3 linked regions of the Stegostoma tigrinum genome follow. The protein of the gene in region 2 binds, or shares a complex with, the protein of the main gene of each other region. Links are inferred from orthologs where the notes say so. Each region holds a gene or a part of one and is shown on either strand. Other genes may lie near its edges. The genes, in order: kat2a, taf12 and taf13.

Evidence for each region.
Region 1: taf12 (region 2) and kat2a share a complex: the UniProt entries of both Homo sapiens proteins name them as parts of the STAGA transcription coactivator-HAT complex. The link is inferred for Stegostoma tigrinum from reciprocal best matches to the Homo sapiens genes TAF12 and KAT2A.
Region 3: taf12 (region 2) and taf13 share a complex: the UniProt entries of both Homo sapiens proteins name them as parts of the TFIID basal transcription factor complex. The link is inferred for Stegostoma tigrinum from reciprocal best matches to the Homo sapiens genes TAF12 and TAF13.

What each region holds. Positions count from the first base shown.
Region 1 is NC_081384.1:13,605,353-13,609,105, reverse strand, and holds the start of kat2a (histone acetyltransferase KAT2A), read left to right. Parts: upstream 1-1,290; 5' UTR 1,291-1,340; coding exon 1,341-1,574; intron 1,575-3,753. UniProt on the Homo sapiens protein: Protein lysine acyltransferase that can act as a acetyltransferase, glutaryltransferase, succinyltransferase or malonyltransferase, depending on the context.
Region 2 is NC_081377.1:40,948,533-40,952,285, forward strand, and holds the start of taf12 (transcription initiation factor TFIID subunit 12), read left to right. Parts: upstream 1-1,441; 5' UTR 1,442-1,555; intron 1,556-3,753. UniProt on the Homo sapiens protein: The TFIID basal transcription factor complex plays a major role in the initiation of RNA polymerase II (Pol II)-dependent transcription.
Region 3 is NC_081365.1:35,350,375-35,354,127, reverse strand, and holds the start of taf13 (transcription initiation factor TFIID subunit 13), read left to right. Parts: upstream 1-923; 5' UTR 924-1,028; coding exon 1,029-1,055; intron 1,056-3,753. UniProt on the Homo sapiens protein: The TFIID basal transcription factor complex plays a major role in the initiation of RNA polymerase II (Pol II)-dependent transcription.

The sequences.
Region 1 (3,753 bases), on a different chromosome or scaffold from region 2:
AGCATTTCTATTGGCCCTATGCTTAAACCTCTCTTAGCACATCACAGCATAAACTCCTACGTGACTTAAAAGAATTCACACCTTAAATAATATTCTCTATACTGATTTTCAGCTTCACCAGTTACACACAATTTCAACTGAATGTTTTAATGACAACAGTTCATTCTTTAAGTCTAACATCTAGTGTTTCTGTGTTGAGCAGATGGGGGGGGCCAACCAAGAGAATAATCTCTACAACCGCAAGCATCGCCCACCAATGAACACAAGGAGGAAAAAGGAGAATGGTCATACCCAACAACATTTGTTAAATCTTAGTGTAACATATAAGATTCTTATCAGACTTGACATGGTAGCTGTAGAATGGTTGTTTGACCTTGTGGGATAATCTAGGACCATAATCATATAGTCTCAGAGTAACTGGGTCACCCATTGAAGACAAGATTGGTTGGATATTTTTCTCTCAAAAGGGCAATGCATCTGTGGAATTCTTTACAACAGAAGGGTAGGTCATTACAGATATTCAAGGCTGAGATAGATTTCTAATCCGTGACGGAATCAAGGGCCATGGGGAAAAGGCTGATGATATCAAGAAACATCTCTCAGAAGACTCAATGAGAAGTCCAAATTTGATTTACCCTTTACATTCAAGATGCCAGCATCAGTATTAAGGCATGAATCACTGTCCTCCTTCGTGGCATTAATCCTTTAAATATCCCTCTTTCCCCCAAATATGTGATGATTTAGTTACATCCTCATTACCGAATATAAAAGTGACGGCAGAAGCGCCAAAGGCCTAGCCCCACCCCCTAACGGCATGGTCGCGGCCTCCCACACAGACACGACGGGGGAATAAAAGGAAAGAACACCTTCTACACAAAATAATAACCACTTACTCTCGTTTTTAATTTCTTGTGAATTAAGATATTTTATCGATTTTTACTAACCCACACACCTCCACTCACCTTAGCCCTCATGATTTTCAATCTAAACACCTCACGGTCTCATTGAAGCTTCAACAGTATCGGCTCCAAATGATAACGATGCGCATGCGTTTACATAACAACGCGGCAGCAAAAACTACAACTCCCATGATGCCTCGTCTGGGTTTACATGTAAAGTTATTATTTTTCACCCAGATCCCCCTATGAAGACCTTCCTATATATATTTCGATTTGATATATGCTAGACTAATTTTATTTTTATGGTAATTTTTGTGAGAAAGTGGACTACAGTTCCCAGGGTGCATCCCGTGTCGCGCCTGCGCAATGCCGGCCTGGCTGGTTGCCATGGCAGCGGGTGAAGAGAGGGCGGGGAGTGGTGGTGGGGCATTCTCGTAGGTGATGGCGGAGGCATCCCAAACGTCGCAGGCCCGGGCTCAAGCGCCCTATCCGACCCCGTGCCAGGCCCAGCTCCAGGCTGCGGCCTCGCCTTCTCCCGCTACTTCGAGCCCGGCCGATCCGGCCCGTCCCGGCGCTAGCAGCAATCAGCAGCGCTCGGTTCAGCGCAAGGCCCAGGTTCGCGCTTTCCCCCGGGCCAAGAAGCTGGAGAAACTCGGCGTCTTCTCAGCCTGCAAGGTAAGGGCAGGGCGACTGAGGGAGGTGACCGGGGGCTCCCCGAGCAGGGTCACAATCCCCGCCTGACTCTCTCAGGGTGAGACCGGGTCACTTTTTCTCTCTCTCAGCGCCAAACTGGGCAGCACACGATCTTTTCTGGAATTGAAATGTTTAGAATGAAAAGCACCTCATTTTTCCTGCATACCCCTTCTGCCTTGTCATCAATAACTCTGCACACACATTGTCTAGGACAACCCAAACTGAGAGTTGTGGATAATCTGTCGGGCTGCTATCCGAAAATTGACAGGAGTGCAAATTGATGTTAACGTAGCGATATGGTCCAGAGTCTTTCAGTCACTGCAACGCCCCTTGTTGAATAGACAAAGCACCGACAAAGCACCTTAGAAATACTGTACCTTTCAATTTTTAACTTCTAATAAATAACACTTCTGAAGCAATCAAATCGCACTCTTCTAAACTCATAAATCACACTGTTTAGTTAAATGCTTCAAGTGTCCGCTTTGAGAGTACCGTATGGAGTAGAAGTAATGGGAGGAGGAATTTGCAAAAAGTGAGGTAGGGATATAATGGGCAGTTGAGACTTTAAGACTCTGTAGTAAGAAAACCAATGTAATAGAGTTCCTTAAATAGTTTGGGACAAGAGTACAATGACGGTTGGAAAAGCAGAGTGCATCTACTGTTAAATAAAACCAAGGAGCTTGGGGGTGATGGATCCATGTGAATTTTGAAAAATGACTGAGGGGCAAATGCTGTCAAATTTAACCTTGCATGAGTAAACAGAGAGGAGTTAAAAACAGAAAGTGCTGTGAATCCTGGCAGGTCAGCCAGCATCTTTGGAGAGAAAAACAGGTACCACTTCATGTTTGTGACCTTTTACATTACTGTGGATTTGGAGTTAAGTGTGAACAAAATGGGTAAGGAAAGGCCAGAGTGATCTAGAGAGCAGCTTCATGAGCATTATTAATGAGATGTTAAATTTCCCCCAGTTGCTATGGTGGCATTTGAAATTGTATCACCACTGCGTTAGTCCAAGTTTCTGGATTCCTGGTACAATAACATTGCTTCTATCTTACTGTTCTTTTGAGTGAAACAGGGCCACTGAAAAATTTAGTGGAAGAATAATGGAAATGAAAGTGTTTAGCAGAATTTTATAAGAGCAGTCTAAGAATATCCTAAAGGTGAACCAGAATGTGAGCACCCACAATTGGCTTGAGAAGGGAGCAGAGCTGATCAGCAAGAGAGCCAGTGAGGAATGGAATGAGAGTGATCAGAGAGAGACCTGGAACAGGAAAAAAGTATAGGAGATGGTAATATGCCCTAATGTATTGAAGAAAGGCTTGGGAGATCATATCGGATTTTCTTTTTGAAGACAACGAAAATGGTCATGAACCAAAATTTAAAAACAAGTCTCTATGAACTTGTGATTTGACAAGTTCAAAGGATTGACATTGATCCAAATTAGTAGGGCAGTTGAGAGACGCAGTGACCCTTCTTCAGAACTGGACTTGATGCTACCAGACCTGAATTTTTCCAGCAATTTCGGTTTTTGTTTCTGATTTCAGCGTCTGCATTTTGTTTTCTTTCTGGAAATAGTTGTACCCTAAAGCCCTGATATGCGACACGTTTGTTTTAACTATATTTCTGTTGAAAAAAAGACACAATCACTGCCCTTTACTTGCATTTTGAAAAAAACTGCGTGTGCAGAATGGATTTACCCTGGTCAGCTGTGATGAATACGCCTACTAAACTCCTTATTGTCTTTGTGAACTATTAATCACATCTGCCGAGTAAACCTGAACAAAAATAGTACTTTTATATTGAATTATTACTTTAAGTTCTGTAACATTTATTGTGTACAATATATATGGTTTGATCGAGTAGCTTCAAGTGCGAAGGTGATACTCTTTCCACTTGTACTTAAACAGTTAGTAGTGTGTTTTTATCGCATCAATCACCTGAACCCAAATCTAGAGGAAATAGCTGTGTATGTCCGAAGGCATAGGAAAATTCAGCTCTGAAACATTAGACATTGCAAGAGCTTTACTCTCAGAATTACAACCTTAAATTCTGAGAAGAATTTCACCTTTGAAATATGTTCATAGTAGTTACTAATAATGTATGAATAGTCTTAAGAAACCATTTCTAGTATTGAGATGTTGTTGAGCAGTTGGCTTTAAAA
Region 2 (3,753 bases):
TGCTGTGTTCATCCCTCTCCACACTGTGTTATCTCAGGCTCCAGCATCGGCAGTTCTTGCAATCTCTTAAACTGAGGTCCCATCTATTGTATGAAGTAGCTAGTACCTGTCATTACTAAGTAAGCACCATCCATTAGGACTTGAAGGACTGCTCCTTTGAGGTGCTGACAAGCTTAAACTGCAAGTTATCGGTTGCAAGTTCAGTACTAAGTTTTGCATCACAAAACAATAGTATGTACTTACTCTCATGTGTCACGAAAGAATCTCTTATCTTAGATGTAATGTAAGCAGCTGTTAATAACGGTGTAATAAACAAGCTCTTTTTATCAAGACTGTCTAATCTCTTCTGCCAAAGACTAATTGTGAGCTACCTTCCTGCCTTGGACCGTGTGTGTCTTAGATGAAGGAGTATTGGTGGCAGTGAATATATACTCAAACATACTGGTGGACACATCAAAGCATATACCACTGTCTACCCTCTCAAGTGGATACGAAAGATCCCACAGCTACTGCAATGAAGAAGGGAGGCAGTGGCCTCGTGGTGTTTTTGCTGGACTGTTTATCCAGAGATCCAGGTAATGTTCTGGGGACCCAAGTTTGAATGCTGCCACAGCAAGTGGTGGAATTTGAAGCCAACAAAAAATCTGGAGTTATCATTCATTGTCGAATGTTGGAAAAATCAATCTGCTTCACTGATGTCCTTTACAGAAGGAAGCTACCATCCTGACCTGGGCTGGTCTACATGTGACTCCAGACCCAAAGCAATGTGACTGTTTACTGCCCTCTGGGCAGTTAGAGACGGACAATAAATGCTGGCCTAGCTAGCAGCATCCTCTCCCCATTAATGTGCTTACCCCCTCCCCCTGGCCAATATGTTATTCAAAAGAATCACAGATGTGTAGAAGGGGGCCCTTTGGCCCGTCCTACTTGCACTAGCCCTTCACAACCGTCATTAGCTAGTGTCAAATCTCCGCCCTTCTCCCCCAGACCCTTGTACGCTATTCTGATCAACATAAACCATCCAAGGCCCTCTTAAACGCCTCAGACTAGAGAGGCAGTCTATTTATAGCGTTTGGGACATGAAGGGCGACATAGAAATGTAGTTCTTTCCTCGCCCATCCAAATGGGACTGGGGCCGTTGCCTAGTCGATGCTCCAGGGGTTGATTGACAGCTCGCAGGGTTGCCTGGCAACAGCCCCCAACAACTGGCCCTAACAACAGCACCCACTTAACCGCCAACCGTCAGCACGCGAGATCTTCGGAAGTCGTGCGCGTGCGCATTCCCTCGTGGAAGACAACTGGAAATAAAAGCATCCGAGGGTCGAAAAATCTCGTAGCGAATTATTTTACGAACTATCGCGCTGATGTGTTTTTTTGAAGTTTGTTTGTGTTTTCTTTTTGTGTTGGGTCGGTACCTGAAGGTAAGGGGTCAGGGGTCAGGGCTCAGAGCTGATTGTTTCCGGGTTCCCTATGAGCGGCCGCTGCTGAGTGCTCGTTATGACGGGGGCGCGGCTCGGAGGGCGCCGGTGCTGAGGCGGCGCGGCTGCCTGCCTGGGTGAGTGATCGATCCACTCGGCTTCACCGTGCTTCGTTCCTGGGAGGAGGAGGAGGAGGAGGAGGAGGAGGAGGAGGAAGAAGGGGCGGGGAAGCGGGATATTTACATCCAGTTTGTATAGAGGATCCTATAGCTGCGGCCTACACAGGCCCGGACAGACACCGAGACACACACACACACACACACACACACACACACACACACACACACACATCCCCGTTACACTCTCACACAGGCTCAGGCAGAGAGAGATAGGCACACACTCACAGGCCCAGGCAGACAGAGAGGGAGACACTCACACATGCCCCAGTTACACACTTACACAGGCCCAGGCAGAGAGAGAGAGAGACAGACAGACAGACACTCGCACATGCCTTGGTTACTCTCACACAGGCCCAAGCAGAGGGAAGGAGAGAGAGAGACACACTCACACACCCCAGTTACACACACACACAGGCCCAGGCAGACAGAGAGAGAGAGACACTCACATATGCCCTGGTTACACTCTCTCACAGACCCAGGCAGAGAGAGAGAGAGAGACACTCACGCATGCCCCAGTTACACACTTACACAGGCCCAAGCAGAGAGAGAGGGCCCGGTTACTCACTCTCACGGGCCCAGGCAGAGACAGACACTCTCACGTGTCCCGGAGACACTCACGCAGGCCCAGGCAGACAGAGAGAGAGGCGCGTGCACACTCAAACCGGGAAACAGGGACAGCAGAATCTTTGGTCTCCCACTGAGGTCGAAAGGGACAGAACGAAATCGGTCAGCATTGTCCCAGACAGGCACATACAGACTTGCTCTGTCTAGAGAGGGAATGAGAGAGGAGTTCCTGATCTGTCCCTCAGGCGTTGAGTGGGACAGAGAGAAAAAAGATAGGGTCTGTGCTGCTTCTGTTTTCTTGCAGACACAGAGGATCGCTGAAGTCCGGAGAGAGAGGAGACCCCTTGCCTGGTCTAACTCACTGGCCCAGAGAGAAATGAGATCCACGCAGACCCTGTACAGTCTCTAACTCTCACATTCTGTCTTTCATAGACATACTTACTCTCGGACACCAATTTTCAGACAGGTACATGGATAAGGGATCAGAGAGGCAGCAATGGGACTGAACAGCCCCTGGTTTATACACAGACTCAGAGCCTGCAGAGAGAGAGAAGCCCCTGGTGTGTGTGTGTGTCTCTCTCTCACGTGCAGGCCCCAAGAGTGAGAAATAGTCTGCATTGTCCCCGATCTCTTGCTCAGAGTCTCTCATTAACTCAGTCATTGGCCTAGGGAGGGATGGAGAGAAAAGCAGGATCCATCGTGCAGCTGGATTCACTTTGATTTTTTTCAGACTTTCCCTATGCCTCCGTTGCATGCATAGGCCTGGAGAGAGAGGGGGGGTGGAAAAAAGTGTCTTTTCTGTCCCTGGTTTCTTATTTGCGCACGGTCTCTCACACAGAAACACACTATAAAACAAATTGATGGAGAAACTCAGCAGATCTTGCAGCATCTGTAGGGAGAAAACAGTTAGGTTTGAGTCCAATGACCCTTCTCCAGAGAGAGAAGTGCAGTTTGCACTGCCTTGTTTACACTTGTTCAACTCATTCCATGTGTGCACAATCTCTCACTGGTACACACTCACACCTGCCCAGAGAGAGAGAGAGAGAGAGAGAACCTGAGTTTGCGCTGCCCTCAGTTATACACTGTATTCTTATGTAGGCCCATAGTTTATAAAATCACAAAGGGCTTGGATAGGGTGAATAGTGAAGGTCTTTTTCCAAGGGTAGGGGAGTCCAAAACTGGAGGGAATAGGTTTAAGGCAAAAGATATAAACGGGACCAAAGGGGTAACATTTTCACACAGCGGGTGGTGCAAATGTGGAAATGAGCTGCCAAAGTAGTGAGTTAGTGTTTAAAAGGCAACTGGATGGGTATATGAACAGGAAAGGTTAGAGGGATGTGACCCAAATGCAGGGCAAATGGGACTAGATTAATTTAAGATATCTGGTCAGCATGGATGAGTTGAACCAAAGGGTCTGTTGCCATACTGTACAACTGTGACTCCATAGCTGTTTCCCAGGCCCAAAGAGAGAGGGAAGTAGAGTGTGCTCTGCCTCTTCACTCGCTATCTCTCACATAGGCTCTTGCCTGCACATAAATTACGCCCGTTAACAATTCAAAATAAACAAATGCTGAATACTCAAATGATTATAA
Region 3 (3,753 bases), on a different chromosome or scaffold from region 2:
AGTAACATGGAAATAGACAACACAATGTGCAGCTAGAGGAACACAGCAGGCTAGGCAGCAGCAGAGGTGCAGGAAAGTTGATATTTTGGGTTGGGACCCTCCTTCAGAAATTTCCTGACCTGAAACATCAACTTTCCTGCTCCACTGATGCTGTCTGGCCTACTGTCTTTCTCCAGCTTCACACTGTGTTATCTATGACTCCAGCATCTGTAGTTCTCACTATCTCAAAGTAACACTCTAAAGGACAAAGAATGAGGGGCACAGAGTTAAAATCATTTGTAAAAGAAGTAAACACAATATGGAAAAAAAAACTTACTGTGTAGTTCAGGTTGGGAGTTCATCGTCTATGGCAGAGACAGGTTCAATAGAGGCAGTCAAGAAACGACATGCAGGTGATGTGGAAAGTGTAGAAAAATGAGTCATGATGCCCATTTTAAGAGCTGGTGCAAACAACAGTCCAAACAGCATTTTTCTGTACCAATACAATTCTGATTCTGCGGTTGACTTTTTGTTGCCCTCTGAAATGCACCCAGTTGCATTCAAGAAACTAAGTGATTCAGGATGAGGGATTAAACATAATGTTAAAATAGATTGAGCATTCTATTTGGTTTTGAACAAGACATGGCTTGAGATTGAATGTACTTCTATATTTAAACAAAGTCTTTCGATTTGGCATCTGTGCCATTTTATCTGTCTTAAGGAAAACTTTAAAAATAAATACGGGTAAAGATGATAATAGGGACTCCAGATGCTGGTGAATCCGTGATAACAAGGTGTGGAGCTGAATGAACACAGCAGGCCAAGAAGCATCTTATGGGCAGGAAAGATGATGTTTCGCGCCAAAACTCCTTTTCTGATTAAGGGTTTAGGCCTGAAACGTCAGCTTTCCTGCTCCACACCCACCACGTGTGGCTGGTGACGCGGACGTCTCTCTGGAAACCCCTCAACATTATCCGTAACAGTTGCTCGGCTTTGCGCGCGGGCTGGTGACGTATGGTTGAATGGACTGAGATCTGTCTCCGAGTAAGATGGCGGACGAGGAGGACGAGCAGCCGGTGAGTCTGGCTCTTGAACTTCACTCTCTTTCAGCATGTTCACGGCTCGGATCGATGTCTCTTGCCGCCAGCAGCAGCAACGAAACGCCCTGAATGACGGTGACACTGAGCTATTTGCTAATTTCAGCAGCCATAGTCTGAAATCAGCAAAACAATTAAAAATCGGGAGCTGCAAACGACCCTACTTTTCTGTGATGATAGGAACTGCAGATGCTGGAGAATCTGAGAAAACAAGGTGTGCTAGGCCTGCTGAGTTTCTTCAGTATTTTGTTCTTACGTTTTCTGTTTCTGTAACTTTCAGATTCCCAGCTTCCGTGGCATTTTTCATTTTTTTGTTACTTGTTTTGAGTAACAGAGTATGTGCTGTGTGAAAGGTATGAGGTGTGGAGAAATTAGGGTTATAATAGTGGATTTTTAAAAAATCATAGCGTGGGTGTCATTATTGCCCACCCCTGATTGATTTGAGAAGCTGGTTATCAAACACTTTCTTGAACTACTGCAGTCTGTGTTTTATTTATTTAAAAAATATACTTTATTTATAAAATATCTTTATATACACCTGCAGCTCCTATGGCAGTTCAATTCTGTAGAGACCATATGAAAAAGCAAACAAACGTGGAAGTTTGACTCTATCCAGCAAACAAACCAAAGGCCTTTCTTACTTGATCAAGATCACATTTACATATATTTGAAGCATCGAGAGGGTCTGATGGTTGAACAGACCTCCATTTAACTTTGGCAGAAAGACCCTAAACGATGCCTTGGTGGCAGCTGTCCCAAAGCTTTAGTGCATCCCTCAGCATGTAGACCTGTACCTCGGAATATGCCTATCTGGAGCACTCAGTCAGGATCAACTCCTTTTTCTGGAAGACCAACAAGTTTCCGGCAGACCAAAGTGTTTTTCACCAAATTTATGATCCTCCAGGTGCAGTCCATGCATCCTTAGGAACAGATCATAGAGCACAGAGTCCTGTGTCACAGAGCTGCTCAGGACAAACCGCGACAAAAATCACTGCATCTTTCTCCAGACTTCCTTTGAATAGGCACATTCCAGCAGGAAATGTGTGACAGATCTATATCCTCTGCAGCTGCTATGAGGGTAACATGTGGAGGTACATGAAGAATCTCAGGTTTTTAAATTTGATTTATTCTTGTCACGTAGTTAAAATTGACATTCAAACTTGCGTTGTTCTATTTACATTTCATAAAATTGTTACATGTAAATATGCATTTCACACATTTTCTGAAGCCACCTTCAATTTGTACATTTCAAGTATGTATTTCTCAGGAGGATGCATGAACACATTCAAGTGATTTGTATCATTGCTTACATTAGGAGCAGTCATGGCCAGGAGGTTGAATTAGTTTGCTTGGTCTTGATTTCTAGGATTAATTATACTTGGATACAGAGGAGGAGGCTCAATCCTATGATTATGTCAGTTATGTCTTGATTCATGCTGTGCTTTGAGAGAGGCTGGCGGCTGGTTGGACTGTGAACAAGTTGTGAGAGATAATGGGAACTGCAGATGCTGGAGATTCCAAGATAATAAAATGTGAGGCTGGATGAACACAGCAGGCCAAGCAGCATCTCAGGAGCGGCTTTCTCTACATTGGGGAAACCAAGCGGAGGCTTGGGGACCGCTTTGCAGAACACCTCCGCTCAGTTCGCCACAAACAACTGCACCTCCCAGTCGCGAACCATTTCCACTCCCCCTCCCATTCTCTTGATGACATGTCCATCATGGGCCTCCTGCACTGCCACAATGATGCCACCCGAAGGTTGCAGGAACAGCAACTCATATTCCGCCTGGGAACCCTGCAGCCATATGGTATCAATGTGGACTTCACCAGTTTCAAAATCTCCCCTTCCCCCACTGCATCCCTAAACCAGCCCAGTTCATCCCCTCCCCCCACTGCACCACACAACCAGCCCAGCTCTTCCCTCCCACCCACTGCATCCCAAAACCAGTCCAACCTGTCTCTGCCTCCCTAACCGGTTCTTCCTCTCACCCATCCCTTCCTCCCACCCCAAGCCGCACCCCCAGCTACCTACTAACCTCATCCCACCTCCTTGACCTGTCCGTCTTCCCTGGACTGACCTATCCCCTCCCTACCTCCCCACCTACACCCTCTCCACCTATCTTCTTTACTCTCCATCTTCGGTCCGCCTCCCCCTCTCTCCCTATTTATTCCAGTTCCCTCCCCCCATCCCCCTCTCTGATGAAGGGTCTAGGCCCGAAACGTCAGCTTTTGTGCTCCTGAGATGCTGCTTGGCCTGCTGTGTTCATCCAGCCTCACATTTTATTATCTGTGAACAAGTTGTGTTGAGTTTTCAAGATTGACTTGATTTTTAATATTTTCACAGTTTGTGACAAACTTGTCCCATTTTCACATTTCTTGCATATGCATATAGTTCCATCCAGAATGATGCCCTGAATATTACTTGCCTTTCCCCTGTTTTCCAGTTTTGAAAACATTTTTATTTTTCAAATTAAGGATGAAAGCGTGGATTATAATGAACCAATCCCTGGGAAGGCACATGTAGTAATGAATGTGGAAGTAGGGATTTGAAGTGGTGTTGAATTGCTGTGTTAAGAAAGTGATGGGGAACAGTGGGATTGGTTTAAAATTAAAGCTGAAAAAGCCAATCATTTGCAGGACAAAAATACAGCATATTTGTGGGGGAGGCTGAATGTAG